Linked DNA regions of Lepisosteus oculatus. The protein of the gene in region 1 interacts with the protein of each later gene in a biochemical or structural test. Links are inferred from orthologs where the notes say so. Each region holds a gene or a part of one and is shown in the gene's direction. Other genes may lie near its edges.

Region 1 (4,223 bases):
TGTGTGTGGAGTGTGAAGGGTCAGTAACAGACAGGAGCGTGTGTGTGTGTGGAGTGTGAAGGGTCAGTAACAGATAGGAGCACACGTGTGTGTGTGTGTGGAGTGTGAAGGGTCAGTAACAGATGTACACTTGTGTGCTGTGGGTATCAGTGAGCCGTTACGTGGCTCAGTCAGCCATGTTTGTACATGTGCTCAGTGATGACTTGGCCGTGTCTTGGAAGCAGCTGGTCGTGAGAGGTTTTCCTCCCTTCCATTCTCTCGGCCCCACTGCGCCGGCTTGCATTCCTGACCAGCCCCAGCTGCTGAAGGGCTAGGCTCCCTCACAGCCCTCAGACAGGCTACACACGAGGAGCTGCGTCCCAGCCATTCCAGCCAGACTGCCAGGACTCATCGCCCAGCCTGAAACACCCCAGAGAATGTTTTTAACACAGCCTGGCAACTTGATCCAGACACCCCCCACTCTTTGTGTAAACCGCTGCCTCCTGTCCTCAGTCCTGAATGAACTGTTCACACTTGTGTTCACTGGTAGATCCAGCGGACGACTTCAGGTCCAACTATCAAATCCAGGACTTAGAAGGCCTTTGACCACTTGTATTTTTTTTTCTGTTCACAACTAAAGGGACTATGTCCCTTTAAGATCATCCATGCGTTTTCCAATTCAGGATCGTGGGGGAGCCGGAGCCTATCCCGGGAAGCAATGGGCGCAAGGCGGGGTATACCCTGGACGGGACACAAGTCTTTAAGAGCAGGAATAATAAACCTTTTTCTTACCTCAACAGCTGTGTTTTTAATTCTGTCTGTCATGTTGCGCTGTAATCGTAATGTAAACGATTAAATGTAAACAGCTTCTTTTATTTTTCCGAACAACGGACACGCACATCTCAGCTCAGCTTCAAAACTAACTACGGCAAGTCGCCATGGACATACATGACGCTATCTTACAGCATAGTCAAGTCAATAATTCAGTCAAGGCAATGTTTCAGTTCTATAGCGCAGTTTTATTGAGGGCAGCCAGTCCAGCGGCCAGCAGGGGGCAGTGCAGCTGAGCTGGCAGCTCCTGCCAGAAGTGCTCCAGCTGTTTCAATGGTGCTTCCTGGTCCTCCTCCTCCTCCTCCTCTGGCGCTTCACACTGGACCTCCTGACTCGCCTCCTCCTGCGCACTGGACGGGACGCTCGTCTATGCCTCTTGGCCATGTCTGCGGTCTGTCCGGAAGGCGGCACTGTGCCCTTTTTAAAGCCTCCGGGGAAAAGCGGGCACCCCCCCCTAGTCGTCATCTACGTCACAGCTTGTAGTTATGACGCGTGGATGACATCATATCCCTGTTTAACAAAACAGTCTGTCGGGCCCCAGCAAAGAGTGCGGTTTCCCCCTGCTTTCATCACTCAGCGCCAGCCCAGTGAAAGCACCAAAACAAAATAAAACCAGTTTTATTTCAAGTGGTGTTTCAAGCAGTTAAACTCAACATTATGTTTTGGAAACTTAAAATATTTGTTTAAGAGCCGTTTTAAAGGGTTAAATCGAAAGCTATAATTATTATTTGTATTGGGACACACTGTTTTCAATAAATACATTTATTTATGCAGTCGTTTATAAACACACGGTCCGGAGAATATTACCCAAGTGAACTACAGCACCACTCTCGTCCACGTCAGTATTAAGCGGCACCGTAAATCTGGTCTTGTATAGCATGCTTTCATTCTGTAATACGGCATGCAAAAAGTTTAATCATGAGGTTATTTTATAGCTTAAGTAGTATCCTTTAACGCAAGTATTCCTTTCGACTAAATACGGTCTTAATAAAACAATATCGTGGTCGAGAGCAGGAGCCAGAACTGCATTTCCCAGAAGTCCCCCGTGGGATTTCTAAAGAGGGTTAGAAGCAGTTGCTCCGGAGGGACGGGGGGATTAAGGGACAGGAGAAAGTCGAGAGGGAGGGAGTAAGAGAGAGGGAGAATGCCGCTGAGGAAACAGGGTGAGTGTCGGAGCCGGTCTCGGCCTCAGTCCCGGTTCGTCTCCGTTACAGGTCGGGTAGGGGGTTCGGTACCCAGAGTTCCCGCCCAAACGCCCTTCTCGAGCGAGAAACCCGGGTCTGCGTGCGTGTCTAGAGCGCGCGCCGTCTGCGAGTCGGCGCTTCAGGGCCCCACGGCTCCGTGGGACACAGACCCAGAACTTTCCGTGACGAGACAGGAGACTTTTGTGTGGAGGTGTGTTTTTGAGTGTTTAACCGACAGAAGTCGTGTGAAGGAGAGCGGCCGGAGCCCGGAGTCACCTGTCCGCCGGCTGTCCGCTGAAACCCGTCACTGCCTTTCGAGGAATGACATTTAAAACCGCGAACAGGCAGCACTTCTTTACAGAAAGGGTTGTGGGGGCATGGAACAAGCAGTCCAGACAAGTTGAAGCCGATAACCTGGCTTCTTTCAAAGTACAGCATTTAAAACTGCAAACAGGAGGCACTTCTTTACACAAAGAGTGGTGGGAGTGTGGGATTAGCTGCCCAAGCACACTGAGGCTGATAACACCGCCTTCTTTCCAAGAATTGCATTTGAAATTGAGAATTGGTGGGGGAGATACATCTTTACCCAAGAGGGTGGGAGTGTTGAACAAGTGTTGTTGAGCTAGTTCAAGAAGTGGCTGGGTGATGCGATCCTGGGACCAGCTAGCTACTATCTGCCAAACAGGCTTAACAGGCAGTGGTTTACCAGACAGAATAAAAGTCACCAGAAGGAAGAGAAATTCAGAAACTGTCCCAATTATTATTTTCATGGCAGGGTGGGCCATATTTAAAAAAAAAGAAGAAATGACCCGTTCAACTAAACTGTTTCACTTTAACAGACGGTAGTGGAGTAGAGAGTGGAAGTCCTGATCTTTTTAACCGTTTCAAAGTAGATTGATAACTGGTTTCAGGTGGACAAAGAAGACCCCGAGACACTGTTATTTATGTGTACTGTAAGAAGGCAGTCCTTGCCTGCCCAGAGAGGGGCGAACGGCTCTCTTACAGCACGCAGCGATGTCCTCCCCAGGTGTCCACCTCTCTCCCAGTAGCTCTCACTTCTATAACCGCCTGCCTGTCCGTCTCTGTCCTCCCGGCCCAGACACGGAGAAAGCCCTGCGCTTGATGGAGGAGTGTCAGTCGGAGACCGGCGACGAGGGGTTCCGGGCTCGGGCCGAGAAGCTCCTGAACATCTTCCAGAGCGACCTCTTCCAGGCCCTGCTGGGTGAGGCTGCAGGTTGGGTTAGGCTACAGGCTGTGTTTCGATGGGAGGTTCCCGTTTCGAACCCCACCTCCTCCTCCTCCCACCCCCCACAGAGCTGTGCCCCCGTCTCCCTGATGGAGCTTCTGTGGGCAAGCTGTGGATATCCTGTCCAGCACCTGTTGTGCCCCAGGTAACTGTCCAGTTGGCCCCCCTGCCCTACGAATCAACAGCCCAGGCTGATGCAAGCGGACAGGTGCCCAGAAAGACGCAGGCTGGCGCTGTTGCACGGCCGAAAGGACGCCCAGGCCTGTTTAAGGCCACCCAACCCTGAAGGCCCCAAGCCAACTGTACCCACTTTTGGGGGAACACCAGTCACAGTGGGGCGAATGAGGGCCCAGAGCAGAACCAGCACTGTCTGGACTGTAGGGGCTCAGCCTGCTCCCTGATCGAGCGCCTTCACTGGCTGAGCCCCATCAGGAGCCCCCAGGCTGGGCTGTTTCTAAGAGATTTTGGAAACCTTCTGGACGTGGGCCTCCTCGGGAGCACAGACACGGGGCCTCTTCGTTGTACAGCCCTAGGTGCAACTCCACTCTGCCCCCTGCAGCCTGACCAGAGGAACAGTATGAACACAGGGGGCGAGGATGAGACACAGGGGCCTTAACTGTCTGGGGTCTGTAAAACTGTACAGGAGGGGGGTCCCCTCTACCTCTGTGTCTTCCCCTGTCGCCCCTCTCTCGCTTTCCACCCCCCTCTTTCAGATCTCACACTCCGTCTCTCCCAGCCTCTCTCTCTCCCTCTGCCTATCTGTCTATATTTAGTGGGGATGTAATCTGCTGGTTTAGCTGAGGCGGAGGGATTAGAGCTGAGAGGCTCTTGCAGCACTGCCCGATTAAGAGCAGATCATCCAGGAAGCTTGTCACGGAGGCACGGCAGGCAGGCCGAGAGAGAGACGGGAGGAATGAGGCTGAGAGCTGCTGTTTTCTGCTCTGCACCCACTGTGTGGATGGGGCGCTTGGGCTGTGGGATGA
Region 2 (4,223 bases), on another chromosome or scaffold:
AATTCATCCGGAGAGACAAAAGTAAATAACAACTCTCATTAAAATTTAATAAGGCATACCACCCAGCTACTTAACAGAATGCGTAACTACATGTAATTAAAAAGGAGGGCACATATTCAACAAATGACCTTTAATAAAATGAGAGGAGCTCTTTTGCTTGTTTGCCTGATGGCATTAGGGAGGTTTAATTGATACTGGATTGTCGCCTGTGGATGAGTTAAAAAAAAAGAGGACGGTTGGTGTGAGTAGGGCGACCTCTTGTGGCACGATGGAGTTACTGCAAGAGTACATTTCTTGTTGACACGTGATGGCGGGGTCTTCGCTTGCCTGAGTAGAATCAGTCCATAGCTAATCAACATAGCTATAGACTAAATGAGCAATCAACATATTTTGCAGGTGCAGTCGCCTGCATAAGCGATATCACCAGTGACAGCTGGTGAACACCGAGACATCTCAAAAATGATGATTACACGACAGAAAGGCGTGGCTTTAAATGGGACAATACGACCGCAGAGCTATCTCCTTATAGTCCAGGGCGGGCTGGAGCGGGCTCAAACTATATGCATAACACGAATGTAATTGCTTACACTGTAAGTTACAGTACCGCTTCAGCAAAGCCGTTAGTTTTAAAGCGTCTGCTGTATTAGAATTCACCTGCGGCTCGGCGGCGTTATTGCACGTCAAGAGACACTGCTTGTTCTACAGAGCCCAGAGGTCACCACTGCGCATGTACTACAGCGAGTACAGCGCGCTGGTGCCGCTCAGTTCAGTGACTCAGCCACAAGTTTAACTCCGCGTTCATGCGGGCGCTGTTTGCACAAACACCGCTGCACGCTGGGGCTCTGCTTTAAAGCGGTACACGCAGCCCAAATACTCGCCACGGACACAGTCGGCGTTCCTGCTGTTCGTGTTCATATAAATATCACAAGGATCCAACTATAGCCCCCTGATGAGGCACGCTTATATGTACAGTACCACACGGACATACTCCAACGCGTCACCCAAGGGCGCCGAAGATGCTCCTTCGAGACGCCTGGGATACAGGAGTTCGGCTTCTCCGCCAGGAATAGTATTTCTTTGCCACCGTGTTGTTTTTCCAACTTCGATATCACTCGGTTCCTATACACGCTTCATGCTACACTCATATGCAAACGAAACGTTGAATTGGTCATTAGCTATAAGTTAGCACTGGAATCTAAACAAAACAGTTTCTGTCGGTACTAACCGGGAATATACAGTAGACTATAGGCGCAAAACGTCACATGACTAGATTACTTCATGGGGGATATTATCATCATAAACACGTTTAAGCACACACCAGAGTTCGGTGCATAAATAAACCAGCAGTAACAGGTTCCGACACGAATGTATTCAATCTGCTCCCCGAGCTGCCGTGTGTCCAGTCCGCACGACCGTCGCGCGGCCGGTAAGAGAAAAAGTTCCCGAGCGCGCGGCGGCTGCAGTGCCTCGCTCCGGCCGCTGAGGGAGGATCGCAGCCCGGGCTGCGCGAGGGAGAGGCACCCCGCGCGGCGGGACCCGCTGCTCCTCTGCGCGGCACGCGCGCACGCGACGGGGGCGACAGGGGCCGCCGAATGACTTGGGGAGGGGGGGGGGTAGGCGCGTGTCACAGGCGGCTAATGTTATTTTAATCGACGCGACCGATGAACTTTAATTATCGTCGTCGCCCGTTTTGTTTTGTGGTTTTTTTTAGATATAGAGATGTGCGGATCCGCACAGGCTGAACGTCTAGCTTTTAAATTCTTAACACCTGTATATGTGTGTGTGTATATATATATACACCGTGTGTGTGTGTGTGTTGCCGGGTAAGGCGAAGCCGGGAGGAAATGTGTATTTTTTGTCATTGAGAGGTGTTGACAAAGTAGTGATTGATACTGTTGCACGGCCACGGGAACAGCTGCGATTTCCACAGCGCGCTGAGCGAACTACGGCTGCTCACACCTCGCTACAGTCACAGCCGTCTCCCGACACGCGTTACGCAGGGATCTATTGTGTTATCTTTTCCCCTTTTTTTTGCAACACCGTGAGCATACGGGAGGAGAGGAGAGGGGGGGCTCAGACACTGTTTTCATTTTGACTGCTGACTTTAACATCACTTGCCGTGCGCTGCCTACTGTGGGGAGACGCGTCAAACTGCCGGGGAAAAAAAAGCACCGTGATCTCCCGGGCGCGCCAAACCTGCAGCTGGGAAGGTGAATTCGTCTCCAGCTCATTTCTCTTCCATATTCCGTTTCCTGGCTGGAGGAAAGAGGGATGTGAGGACCTGAATATCAGGGCATCATAAAAAAAAAAAACAACTATCCCAACTATTGAAGATCACATCGGGCGGAGAGAGAGGAATAGGATCTGCGCCTGATTTAATTTTCAAAACGTAAGTACAGGTCTGAATCGTACTGGGGTGTTTGGGGACAGAGGGGGATTGTGTTGTATTATGTGCACGTAGGGTTTTCGTCTACCTGTATTTAGAGAAAGACTGAACTGGGCTAGACTGTATTGCAAGCATCCATCACGCAGTGAGACTCCTGTTGCAGGGGCTGTTTTGTTTAAGGTAGTGCAAGCGAAATGATAATATAGTGCCCGAGGGAGGGGAAAAACGGGTATAGATTCACCTGCCTTTAAGGTGCAGGCAGGTTTAGGATTTAGGAACTGTGTGCGTTGGCTCTCTAAGGTCGTGGAGGAACACGACGATCGGATGAATCAAGATTTTCTCGTTTCGCTTTTTTTTGTTGGTGTTTCCTCAGCCGTTGTAATCATCATCATCAAGTCGAAGACGTGCGAGGAGGACGGACGGCTGATTGCATTGCGCTTCACGTCTGCAGAAATAACATAACCTCCCACCCACCCCCCCCCCAGAGAAAAAAAAATCAAGACCACCACCACCACCACCAACAACAACACAAAGATCAAGGGTGGGGGGGGCGGGGGTCAAAAGGCGGCTTTAATTGCGCACATCTGGATATCAGGAGAGTTTGTGACGAGCGTGACAAGTGGAAAAGCGACAGTCCTCCCGAGATGGGAAGCCGGCGGAATCTGTCGTCTGGGAGCATCTTCGCCATCCTCGGCGCCGGACACACCGCCGGACAGGTGCAAACAGCCACAGCTTAGGGCGGGGGGCGGGCAGATCGTTTTGTGACCCCTCCGTCGTGGGCACTGCAAAAGTGTTTCCACCGTGCGAGGTGAGGATGGCGCGACTGAAGAGATAAGAAAAACAATAATAGTCATTCACCCCTCCTTTCCTAACGCACCGTCTCCCGAGCGGACCCCTGGGGCCCGACCCGACCCGCACCCTTCCCCCCAGTTTCGCGGAAGGAGTTCGGGACTAGGATGTTGCTTGGCCGGCACCCGTGGTCTCCAACAACGGACATGTCAGGCAAGAGGAACTAGGGCCCGAGTCGTGCTGGAGGCGCGGACGAACAGGTGCGAGGGTCTGACAATGTACTGAGCCGCCCCCTCCCTCTACCGCCACTTTCACTTCAGGTCAAAGCTGCGGGCCCTTGTTTTTGTTGTTGTTCTTGTGTTCTGACCTCGGAGAAAACTGAAACCGGGACACACACACACACACCTCCCCCCCGGACTCAACCCCCTCAAAAAATAAAAACACCGGCACGCCGCTCGCCCCGCCAACATGGAGGTTGCCATGGTGAGCGCGGAAAGCGGCGGGTGCAACAGCCACCTGCCGTACGGATACGCCCAGGCGCGCGCCCGGGAGCGCGAGCGGGAGCGCGAGAGGGAGAGGCAGGCGCACACGCGCGCCGCCGCGGCCGCCGCCGCCGCCGCCGCCGCTGCTGAAGCCGCCTCGGGAGGAGGAGGAGGAGGAGGAGGGGGAGGAGGGGGATCCGTGAGCCACCACCACCACCACCTTCACCACAACAACAACCACCACAACCAGCAGCCGCATCCGTCTCGCACCGCCTCCTCCTCCCAGGCCGGCAGCAGTGGCGGCGGCGCCGCCTCGCGCCCCTCCTCCTCCTCCTCCCAGCAGCAGCAGCCCCACGAGCCGCCGCCGCCAGCTGTCAAAGGCAAGCAGCGGCGGCGGCGCGCGGCGCAGTGGAGACGCGAGCGTGCGGCCGGCTTTCGCCACTCGGAGCTGGCGCTGCTCGGGTCCGAGGACGACATGATGAGGGAGGAGGAGGAGGAGGAGGAGGAGGAGGGGGACGAGGACGAGGAGGAGGAAGGCGAGGGGGGAGAAGGGGACGGCGGCGGCG
Region 3 (4,223 bases), on another chromosome or scaffold:
TGGTGCTGATTTTTCCCATTTTATTAGTTCTAAACGTTTCTCCAGTTACTGTATGTTGGATTATTTAGGGTCATCCTGCTAATATGGTCAATTGCATCGTAGACTATGAGAATAATTTGGAATTAAGGCCATGCATCAATGTCCTGACCAACAGCATGAGCCATCCTTTTCACAACTGAACAATAAATCACATGGTAAAATTAGCTTGGTCAGTCGTATAAACAATATAATTGGAAACAGACAACTGCTCATTTTTGTCCGCAAAAAGGTTATAAACGCCATGGTTTCAGTGGCAGAAACATGTTGAATGGGTGCCAGACCACCACCTGTGGAACGGCCGAAGACTGAACTGCATTCCTTTAATCCCATTCTTAAACCAAAACATCCACCAAACCTCATTTTCTATACCTCTAATTGGCTAAACAATACTTTTCAAGATATTTTCACTTTTCAATCCATGCATGGAAGAACAACCTCCCTAAAATGTGAATAGTTTATGACTTTAAAAGTCCTGATATTCATAAAATCACTAGATTTTGTATCTTTCTAATACACACCATCATAAATTACTGTAAATATCCAGTTTCTGTGGCATGGTGTAAGGTAACACAAATGCTGCTTTCAATGCCAGTGTCTGTAGTGGAAGTATTATCTGTACTATTTAAGGAGAGCATGCTAAACCTGCTGATTATAACACATTTCTCTATTTATAGTTGTTTCCTTTAGGTGCGGAAATTAGCGATTTTAAGGAAATTAAGTATTTCATCTCTGTGCTACAGTATGAGCTGGCCCACTACTTCTGACCTTTCCATTAAAAATAGTTTTATAAGGATTCATGCGTCTAGAGCATCATGTCTGTGTATATGATGAGTACATGTATATTTAAGGATTGACCTACCTAGCTATATTCCTACTGCACACATACAGTAGAAAGAAAAAATAAAAACAAGGTTCATTGTACAGTACCTACTGTATGGTCAATAATGCTGGATGTTCCCTAGTGCTGCTTTAGAAAACTGCAAGTAAAACTATTCTGAAATACGCTGCTATTTTTAATTAAATACTGATAAAGCATGACAGAATTGCAGTAAATTAAAATAATAAGCTTGACCTTTGTCTGTGGGAGAACATAATATAAATAGTAGTGAATTTACTGTCTTGATATATTGTACAGTATGTTGAACTGAGGGTTGCATAACATGATAAAACGTCCGTAGTAGTATTATATAAACTGTATATCTCGGTTTATTTTACATTGTCGTAAACCCCCTAAACCTATCTTTATTTCATACATGTATTTAAATCCATGTCACTCCACCTTTGTCATCGTCGAGAGTAACATACAGTACACGGTGAGACACCACTACAGCCGCCTTGGTGATTCTACAAACCCATATTTGTACAGCAGCGCTGTCTTGTACTATGCAATGTTGTTTTTTTTATGGTGTAGGATGCACTAGTGGCAACGTGTGTTTAGCACAGCCGGTCTGCATTGCGTCTAACCCCCCTCCCACCCCCCTCCCAACACACAATTTCACGCACTCTATCCCTCGCTCACACACCACTCTCTTTCCCCAGTACTTTATAGTCCTGTATACTGTATGTTAAGTAATGCGGTAGACTGTCTTTATAAATGCCTTTTTATTTTTTTTATTTTTGCTCTCAATCCGTTCCCTTTTAAAGTCCCGCTTTCGTTCACCTTCTGAAACTGTACTGAGATATCGGTGTACAGTACCTTGGGACGTTCGTTATCTTATCTGCACCAAACAGGAAAAGCTCTCCAATTTCTGCTGATGCTGCAACGTCAAGAAATGGCAAAAGAGTTCGCTTATTGCCCTTAATGTATTCAGCCTTCCCAATCGCACCATCATCACTTCTCTCGCTGTATAGGACATTATGCTAAAATGGTGCAGCTGGGCTGAGGTCAATAGATCCAGTGGATTTCATGTTTGGTTTTGTCTCTGCTCTCTCGTCTGTCTCTCGGGCTTTTATATTGCCTTAATGTAAGATGCAACACTTCGATACTTTTACCGGTGAGGTGGCTCGGTTGTTCTGATTAAACTTAGGAAATAATGACGTTAAAATGCCGTAGACATGTACTAAGACAATATAGTCTATTAATATTTCAGTAAAGCTCCTAGATAGCGCAGTGTAAAGCGATAGCCATATTAAAACAAAGCAGGGAGTGCAAAGTTCTAGCTTTGGCTTTCGGTGTCCACGGAGTCGACGCATTCCTGCACAGTGTCTTACAAGATTAACCGGAGGTAAGGTGAATTAAGGATGATGACAAAATAATAATAATAATATTAATATTAATAATAATAAACGCACAAAAAGAGACCTTACTTCTGTACTACCCTGAAGTCCCTAACGATGATGCAGCTGTTTGGCTAAAATGAGATGTTAGCATATGCGGGATTTAGTTTGAGGAGTGTGGGTGGGCTGTAGATCTGAAACTTGTGCAGAGCTCTATGCAGTAAAAATATGCACGGCTCGTTCCAGTGAACTGTATGGGATTTTGGACGTCTTTCAAAGAAGAAGAAATAAATGTTTTTTTTTCTCCGATTTTTTGTATTCCGCAGCATCCTGTACAGTTTGCGCTTTGGCCACCTTAGGTCTACAGCATAAAGAAAAAAAAAACAGGCAGCCGAAACTGCTGATCTGGCAAAGATCTCTTCTGTTCGATCCATTTTTTCTCCTACTGGGTGACAGTAACAGCAGCAGCAGGAGGAGCAGCAGCACAGAGAAGCAATGGTCGAGTCAGCGCGGATAGCTGGGGAACCGCACTGAAGCGAAGCAAAGCTATCCCCTAAAAAGGGGAACCCGCAAACAAAAGAGCAAGTCGAAGACGACACATATAATAAAAACTGGGAGCCTGCTGACGCGGGCTGAACAGAAGACGTATCTCCTGCAGTATTAAAAGATTCGACAGCCAGGATGACAGTTGTGGCAGGAGATAACATGGATGAGACGTCTGCCTTGCCCGGGCACCCACAAGACAGCTACCCACCAGACCACGATGATCACGAATGCTGTGAGCGAGTGGTTATCAATATAGCCGGGCTGCGCTTCGAGACTCAACTAAAAACACTTGCCCAGTTCCCCAACACCTTACTGGGTAACCCCAAGAAAAGGATGCGGTACTTCGATCCCCTAAGAAATGAATATTTCTTTGACAGAAACCGTCCTAGTTTTGACGCCATCCTGTACTATTACCAATCGGGAGGCCGGTTAAGAAGACCGGTTAACGTACCTTTGGATATGTTTTCTGAAGAGATAAAGTTTTATGAGCTCGGGGAGGAGGCAATGGAAAAATTTCGCGAGGATGAGGGTTTCATCAGGGAGGAAGAACGCCCTTTGCCCGAGAAGGAATTTCAACGCCAAATCTGGCTTTTATTTGAGCACCCGGAGAGTTCTGGACCAGCGAGGGGGATTGCTATCGTATCTGTAATGGTGATTCTGATATCAATTGTTATATTTTGTTTGGAGACTCTACCTGAACTAAAAGACGACCCTGCAGGGAGGATACAAACTATAGGGAACAGTACCTTCTACTACAAACCAAATATCTTCACTGACCCTTTCTTCATTGTGGAGACTCTCTGCATTATCTGGTTCTCTTTTGAATTGGTAGTTCGGTTTTTTGCTTGTCCCAGCAAGGCGGACTTCTTTAAGAACATAATGAACTTCATTGATATAGTGGCCATTATCCCGTATTTTATCACGCTTGGCACTGAGATGGCAGAAGAGCAAGACGGGAAAGAGCAGAAGGGAGAGCAGGCGACGTCTCTAGCAATTCTCAGGGTGATCCGTCTGGTCAGAGTTTTCAGAATCTTTAAACTCTCCAGACACTCCAAGGGACTTCAAATCTTGGGACAGACTCTCAAAGCCAGTATGCGGGAACTGGGACTGTTGATATTTTTCCTTTTCATCGGTGTCATCTTGTTCTCCAGTGCAGTATATTTTGCAGAAGCAGAAGAGAAGGATTCCTACTTCTCCAGCATCCCGGACGCTTTCTGGTGGGCTGTGGTGTCTATGACAACCGTGGGTTATGGGGACATGTACCCTGTTACAATTGGGGGTAAAATCGTGGGGTCGCTGTGTGCCATTGCCGGAGTGCTGACGATTGCATTGCCCGTGCCTGTAATTGTGTCCAACTTTAATTACTTCTATCACAGAGAGACGGAAGGGGAAGAACAGGCACAATTGCTACATGTTAGCAA

What was found. The genes of interacting proteins can lie anywhere in the genome.
Region 2: the proteins of disks large homolog 4-like (region 1) and kcna4 form a complex in vitro, tested with the Homo sapiens proteins (8 studies listed by BioGRID and IntAct, with this or other methods). The link is inferred for Lepisosteus oculatus from reciprocal best matches to the Homo sapiens genes DLG4 and KCNA4.
Region 3: the proteins of disks large homolog 4-like (region 1) and kcna1b form a complex in vitro, tested with the Homo sapiens proteins (3 studies listed by BioGRID and IntAct, with this or other methods). The link is inferred for Lepisosteus oculatus from reciprocal best matches to the Homo sapiens genes DLG4 and KCNA1.

The regions. Positions count from the first base shown.
Region 1 is NC_090698.1:10,879,200-10,883,422, reverse strand, and holds the start of disks large homolog 4-like, read left to right. Parts: upstream 1-1,691; 5' UTR 1,692-1,954; coding exon 1,955-1,973; exon of another isoform or gene 1,974-2,205; intron 2,206-3,093; coding exon 3,094-3,216; intron 3,217-4,223. UniProt on the Homo sapiens protein: Postsynaptic scaffolding protein that plays a critical role in synaptogenesis and synaptic plasticity by providing a platform for the postsynaptic clustering of crucial synaptic proteins.
Region 2 is NC_090716.1:3,645,648-3,649,870, reverse strand, and holds the start of kcna4 (potassium voltage-gated channel subfamily A member 2), read left to right. Parts: upstream 1-1,254; 5' UTR 1,255-2,389; intron 2,390-2,411; exon of another isoform or gene 2,412-2,759; 5' UTR 2,760-3,643; coding exon 3,644-4,223. UniProt on the Homo sapiens protein: Voltage-gated potassium channel that mediates transmembrane potassium transport in excitable membranes. Forms tetrameric potassium-selective channels through which potassium ions pass in accordance with their electrochemical gradient.
Region 3 is NC_090702.1:25,875,098-25,879,320, reverse strand, and holds the start of kcna1b (potassium voltage-gated channel subfamily A member 1), read left to right. Parts: upstream 1-1,588; 5' UTR 1,589-2,264; intron 2,265-2,582; 5' UTR 2,583-2,937; coding exon 2,938-4,223. UniProt on the Homo sapiens protein: Voltage-gated potassium channel that mediates transmembrane potassium transport in excitable membranes, primarily in the brain and the central nervous system, but also in the kidney.